2 linked regions of the Drosophila melanogaster genome follow. The protein of the gene in region 1 interacts with the protein of each later gene in a pairwise test. Each region holds a gene or a part of one and is shown on either strand. Other genes may lie near its edges. The genes, in order: CG9577 and mRRF1.

Region 1 (3,836 bases):
TATAGTCTGTAGGGTTTATAGGGTCGGAGACGATTCTGTTTCTATAAATTCCCATCGATTGATTTTTTTTAACTCTTAATGGGTTTCTAAGAGTCTAATCTGAACACAATTTGCCAGTTAGCTTCTGTTGACAAGTGAAGCACGTGTCCCTTAATACCAAGAAGTTGGCGGCAACAGTTTGAGATTCACACAAGCAAATCGGGAATATTATTAAGCAAATGATCAAGAATATATGTATAACATATATATATATATAGTTTGTAAGGTTTATGGGGTCGGAAACGCTTCTTTGATTTATATACATTCGGCTAGCATAACAAAAACATGGCGGGTTTCAGTTGAAGATTTTGTTTTGTGGCTGTCTCAAAAAACACGTGTGCCAATTCAATGTAAAGTCCTGCACAAATAATTAAACAGTTGGAAAAACGCTTAGGGGCAACCCTACTGCCAGAGTTGGCAAGCGTCAAACTCTCGGTTTTATTTCTGTTTCTACGAATTTCCTCGAAAATTGCCGTAACCTGGGGCAAATGCGAATTGAATGAAAGTTGCAGTCCTTTATTTTCAAAGTATGTGTATAGGGGTTCTAATTAATGCCTTTTCAAGTAGATATATGTATTTGTGTTACAATTCATTGCACAATGCTATTTCATTATGAAAACTTACCAAAAAGCGTTGAATTCCCGAACTTTTTATTTGTGCTAAATTTTTAAAAATAACACTATTCACTGCTTTAAGCTTTTGATTTGGTTAAATGGGTTTGGTGCGGAGTTATTTTTGAAAACTTGTTATATTTATTTTTTTATTCCGAAAATTTCTTCTCTGACCTGTGAGCTTCTGCTTCGAGACTATGCACCTTTATGATTTTCTGATTTTTAGATTGTGGCAAGCAGAACTCAAATTTTCGATAACTTTGAGAAGTGATGGAAGCTGGGACGATACATCGATAGATTCGAGAATAATATCTGTTCATGGCAATTTTATGTGCGTCTTGTTATGTGCGTCAAGTTAGCGTCGATGAGTTAGCGGCTATGTCGGAACGGAAGAAAATGGAACATGGCATCGTTTTTTATGTACTTATTAATTTTTTTTCGTATTTTGAGGTGAATTCCAGGCGGCATTTTTAAATGCTTTAAGCTCCTCCCACTGCATTTTTCCAGGATCATTACCTAATTCGGTTTAGGTAAGCAAGGCACAAGAAATGTCCCTTAAGATGGGCTAGCGTGCAATTAGGAACAGGCTCTGCGAGTGGAAATATTCTCCAAAGAATGGTGAACCTGATTTTTCGATTGCGCATTTTATATACTTTCTTGAGTCCTATAAACTTAAGTCGTACATATATAGTTGGATAATTCTTATCTGAACATTCTAGCATTTTTATTTTTTGGAATACTCCTCTAAACAACGAAAAAATAAATAATAATACACATTCGCATTGACGCGAATTTGATGCAAAACTTTTTAAGTTAGAATCCTCCAGCCGGGTGGCAGCAAAACACCGTATTGATATAGTAGCCGAACAAATTTCTGCCGCAACGACTTGATTTTACCTACAACCCATTTATTGCAACAACTGTGTCCTTATGCAGCCAGAAAAATCCATTGAAAATCTGCTAGTGAAATATATCCAGTAGCTTTGATAAGCCGAGAGCCCGCCTTATTTTGAATATTTCTGCCGGGTGGCAGCACTGCTACGTATCGTTAAGCAAACAAAACAAATTTAGCTGCCGCAACAAGTAGATTTGATTTGAAACCAGTGAAAAGAAGGTTTATTATGTCGCTCTCCCGCCTGAACACTCTGATGAAACTAACGCCCAAGCCCACGGGTAAGTATCGGGGACTTCGATAATCCGACATCCAGCCTTCTGCGTTCGAAATTTGGGTTCGGTTCAAAGTCCGAACACCGGTGATTGAACCTTTGTCTCTTCATCGTTTTAAAAGTCCAATCAATTGCACTTCCCGTCAGCCATCGGATCCCTTAAGATGCAGAGAAACCTTTCCGCCCTCCCGGAATCCGGACCCACCGGCTCTTTCAAGACGCTGGCCGTCAGTTCGCCCAAGCCGTTCGTCTTTCATGTGGAGCTCCATCGGCCCAGCAAGTTCAACGCCATAAGCAAGCAGATGTGGCTGTGGGTTATCCAATAGCTTCCCGTTTCCTGTTCCGCAGACTGCTAACCCAAACTGCGTTACCCATTTCCAGGGAGATCAAGGAGTGCTTCGACGGACTGGCCACTAATCCCGACTGCCGGGCTATCGTTTTGTCCGCCTCCGGAAAGCACTTCACCGCCGGCATCGACCTCAACGACATGATAAACGTGGGCCAAACGCTGGCCGAGACCGATGACTACGCCCGCAAGGGCGTCTCCATGGAGCGAATGATCAAGGTGTACCAGGACTCAATCAGCAGCCTGGAGCACTGCCCCAAGCCGGTCATCACGGCGGTGCACAAGGCGTGCATCGGCGCCGGCGTGGACCTGATTACCGCCGCCGACATTCGCTACTGCACCGAGGACGCCTTTTTCCAGGTCAAGGAGGTGGACATCGGCATGGCCGCCGACGTGGGCACCCTGCAGCGTCTGCCCAAGGCAGTGGGCAGTCAGTCCCTCGCCCGCGAGCTGTGCTTCACTGGGCGCAAATTCGAGGCCGCCGAGGCCCACTCCTCGGGCCTGGTGAGTCGCCTCTTCCCAGACAAGGATTCCCTGCTGACCGGAGCCCTGGCCGTGGCCGAGCTCATCGCTAGCAAGAGTCCCGTCGCCGTAAAGACAACCAAGGAGAGCCTCGTGTACTCCCTGGAGCACACCAATCAAGAGGGCTTGGATCACATTGTGGGTATCCTAATATCTCAACGAATTTGCACGAGCTAACCACGCCTCACGCCTCACACCTTGCAGCTCCTGCTGAACAAGCTCAACCTGCTGTCGGAGGACTTCGCCCAGGCTGTGGCCGCCCAGTTGACGAAGGACGATAAGCCAGTGTTCGCCAAGCTGTGATCGGTAACCTGTAATATGTAATCTGCAATCTGACAGAATTTAAAATGTATTTGCCATGTGTGCATTTATAAATACAGCATCTGCCTTTACTTTAGGACCCAAATCAGCTCATAAGGTTGTCGGGAGAATGAAAGGCTTATGACTAGGAATTTGGTTTTCGTTGTGAGCTCTTAAAACGCCTCCGCGGATGAGGCACCGGGGTTCTTCTGTTGCTGTTTGCAAAGCTCCTGCAGGGCGCGTGGATCCTTGACGCACGCCTCAGTTAGAACTTCCACGTGGCCGTTCTCGTTGATGAGCAGATCGTCTTCGATGCGGATGCCGATGCCCCGGAACTCGGGCGGCACGTCGCCGCAATCCTGGCCAATGTAGATGCCCGGCTCAACGGTGAAGACCATGCCGGGCACGATGCGTGTGTTGCGTGGCACGTGCGGTGTGTCGTGCACGTCCATCCCAAGGTAGTGGGAGACGTGGTGCGGACAGAAGCGGTAGCCCTGGCTGACCAGTTCCTTGTACTCGCTGAACGACTTGCCCACCAGCCCGATCTCCTGCAAGTACTTGCCCAGCTTGTAGCAGGTGGTCTCGAACAGCTGGTCGAGCGTCTCGCCGCCCGGCTTCATCACGTTGCCAATAATCTCCTCCTGCAGCTGGTGCAGCATGTCGTACAGTGTGCGCTGCGGCTCCGTGAAAACCCCACTCGCCGGCCAGGTGCGTGTGATGTCGCTGGTGTAGCCGCCATACTCGCAGCCGGCGTCCATCAGCACGAGATCCTGCTGACCCAACAACTGGCTGTTGGCCACGTAGTGGATCACCGTGGCGTTTTTACCGGCAGCCACCACCGGCGGGTAGGCC
Region 2 (3,402 bases), on another chromosome or scaffold:
TGCTGGGACTCCTGGGCTTGGCTCCTTATCGCAGTGGCAGCGCCAGTCGGTTAGCCTCGCATCCGGAAACCAACTCCCAATTCTGGCCGTGCGATCAAAGCTTCTACCACCGAGACGACAGACACAATTTGGATGAGGGCAAGGAAACGGCTGTATATTTTTAGTTAGAGCGCGTAACGCAAAGCTTTCTTTCAATTTATCAAAACAAATATAAAAAAAGTACATAAATAAATTCAAGGTTAAGTAATGGGTCAAAAGAACGAAAAAACGAACGAGCTTAGGGTTTGGAGGAGTTAGTGTTCTATCTATATATATGGTTATAGCTATGGTTAATTTGAACATGAATCTGTCTCGGTCCTGGCGGAATAGTTGTTACTTCAAGGCAAACACAAGTTGAAACTAACTGAATGAGTTCATGTTTTCTACTTCTTCAGGCGGAACGAAGCAGCACGATTGAATTTGACCAAAGGCGGCTCCTTACTGGCCGATCCCAGCGGTTTTCTCGCAAGCGTCGAGGTGCCTGCAAGGGCTGTCAGTAAAGAATTGCATTAAAATCTCTGATTGAATAGGCACAGTTTGCCGAACTCACCTTTGGCCATTAGCGCTCGTGGACTCTTGCGCACATAGTTGGCGTTGTATTTTACGTTTTCCTTGGCCAGAGAAGCAGCCGCCAACGTTCTCTGAAGTCCTTGCGCCGTAAAGTGATTCGACTTGAGTAGAGCTGCAATTAAACACCAAAGTAATGAGCATAAAGTATTTCCGTCATGCATAAATGATTATGAGCCATGTCCACATATTAACAAAAAAATTTCGCTGCGATGAAATAGTTTATACATAATGCATAACATTTAGAAAGCAAAACCTTACCCTTCTTGATCTTTTCATTGCCACCGCGCACATTCTGATCGGATATCAGATCGCTGACCAGTCGCTGTTGGACGGTTCGCGGCTTGGTCACCGTCGCCGTGAGTGCCTTCCTTGCGCTACTGCTGCTAGAAGTACTGCTGCTAGAACTACTGCTGCAGGGACCCAGGACCTGCGTTTCGTTTAGATTTCGTGGCCTCTTAAACGTCCTGTGCAGCTCCTCGGAATCTGATTCGGTGTCCTGGCTATCAAAGTCCTCCATGCTCAAATGCAGATCGTCGTCGCTCTGAGCCGCTTGCCTTTGTCGCTTTTTGGCGCTGGCCGTGAGGCTGCATGTGGGCTCTTCTTCCTCCTGGGCGCTGCTGCGCAGAGCCACAGGCACCGCCAACGGATTCATCTCGGCCATTTTGGTATTGGCCTCGGAATCGGCGAACCGCATCTTTCGCAGCAACCTTTCGAAGACCGCCTCAATTTCCGGCGTCAGCTTTTGACCATCCTCGAGGCGATCGTACGTCTGGTTGAGCACTTCGCAGGCTGTTCGGAAGGACTTTCGCATCAGATCCAAGTTCTCAACCAGCTCCTGGTTAATTGCGTTCACGTGATTGTTAAAGATATTCTGCTTGGTCAGCTGCAGCTCGAGATCCTTGTACTTAACGTATACAATGAGTATCTGGTAGGCCTTTGATTTGTTAACCTCTCGCTTTAGACTTTCTAGATCCTGGTAGGCAATCTCCATTTTACTCAGCCAGCTGGGCAACTCCTCCTTGTACTTCTCCATCTGGCTGGTCAGTGTGCTCATGTAGTTCGCAAAGCGACGGAAGTCCTGAAAAGTTTATAAGAAAAGGGTATTTATGGTAATAATACATTTTAAAATTAAGTAATGAGTTTTTTTTTTTCAAATAAACCCGCCAACGTAAGCGTTACGTTACGTTAACATGCCTTACGTTTGAGGTTTGTTACGACGAATCGGAAAGAAACAGCTGATGCTGCCCAATTGAAAATCAGTTCCGCATTTAATCCAAACAAAATAGATTAAATTTAAATAAAATGCTGCGAAGTGCACTGCATTTAGCTGCCCTAGGAGTGCGCCAGACGCGAGTGTCGAGCTCCTCACCGAAATTACCTCTAATCCTGCAAAATAATCTAGAAAACACGAAATATCTACAAGTGGCGCGCGATTATGCAAAGGGCAAGGACAAAAAGAAGGAAAAAGGCGGCAAGGGAAAGCCGGGCAAGGTGGAAATCAATGAGCAGCAGCTGCGCGAGATCCTCAATTTCGATGGCCTGAATAGCCAGATGCAGAAGTCCGTGATGCAGATGAAGGAGGATTTTGTGAAGCACCTGTCGCTGCGATCCACCAGCGGTGCCATCGACACACTGCGCATCAAAGTCGATGGCCAGGAGCACGAGCTGCAGGAACTGGCCCAAATCTCTCGCAAGAATCCCAAGACCATCATAGTCAACATGATTGGCTTCCCGCAAACGATTCCCGATGTCCTCAAAGCCATCGAAAAGAGTGGCATGAACCTTAATCCCCAACAGGATGGCACTACACTGTTCATACCCATCCCAAAGGTCACCAAGGAGCACAGGGAAAATCTATCCAAGAATGCCAAAGCTCTGTTCGTCAAATATCGCGATGCCATACGAGGCGTTCAGAACGAACACATTCGCAAGCTGAAAAAACAACCGGAACTTGGCAAGGATGATGCCTTCGCCGCACAGGCTCAGGTCACTGCCATCGCGGATCGCTTCATCTCGGAGGCGGACAAGTTGCTGGCCAGCAAGCAGAAGGAGCTGCTGGGCGATTAGGCCTAAGACCAAGACTGATTCCGCTCCAAAAGCCTTAATAAATGTAAATGTTTAAACTTAAAAACTCTTGAGATGAACTTCCAGAAATAGAAAAACACTAGATGAGCACAAATTTGGACTCTTAGTACCATTTGAAATCGAAAAATCGAACTCACCTCCTGGCACACTCGCTGGTCGACACACATCAGCTTCCTGAACTCCTCCAGTTCTTTTTTCAGTGTCTGCCGGTAGTTGATGTTCTTGATCTTGCTACGCATACCAAGGACGTGCTCCTGAAGCTGCCGGGCGGCCGCATATACAGCGTCTATCTTGCTGTACCACGTCTTAAGCTCCAGCGGATCGAATCCACTATTGCCGGCGCGCTCCAACTGAGTGGCCTTGGCCTCCAGCGCCTTGTTGCGCTCTTTGAGTCGCTCGTTCTCGGCTACCACCTCGTCGATCTTCTTCACATAGAACTCGGTTGGCATCTTGGACTTGAGGACATTCTGTTTCAGAGTCGTGCGTATCTTCTTAGCTCGGCTAGCGTACTTAAGGGTGTTGTAGGTATCTTCATAGGTCAGTGAGCTCATCGAGACATTGGCCACCATCAATGTGCGACAATTTCCGCCCAACGAGTCCTTCAGGATGCGTGTCAGGTTCGAGTCGCGGTACGGGATGTGCTTTAAGCCGTCGGCTAGCTTGTTTATGCAATTTCCCAAAGCTAAGAGACTTTTGTTGATGCTGGCG

What was found.
Region 2: the proteins of CG9577 (region 1) and mRRF1 interact in a two-hybrid assay, tested with the Drosophila melanogaster proteins (one large-scale study listed by BioGRID).

Annotation. Positions count from the first base shown.
Region 1 is NC_004354.4:20,164,994-20,168,829, forward strand, and holds CG9577 (uncharacterized protein), read left to right. Parts: upstream 1-1,679; 5' UTR 1,680-1,771; coding exon 1,772-1,823; intron 1,824-1,963; coding exon 1,964-2,126; intron 2,127-2,197; coding exon 2,198-2,822; intron 2,823-2,888; coding exon 2,889-2,987; 3' UTR 2,988-3,087; downstream 3,088-3,836. Other genes in the region: CG9581 (uncharacterized protein), read right to left, coding at 3,158-3,836.
Region 2 is NT_037436.4:9,362,506-9,365,907, forward strand, and holds mRRF1 (mitochondrial ribosome recycling factor 1), read left to right. Parts: upstream 1-1,844; 5' UTR 1,845-1,911; coding exon 1,912-2,676; 3' UTR 2,677-2,735; downstream 2,736-3,402. Other genes in the region: CG34456 (uncharacterized protein), read left to right, coding at 1-164; Klp67A (Kinesin-like protein at 67A), read right to left, coding at 423-529, 590-721, 868-1,687, 2,832-3,402.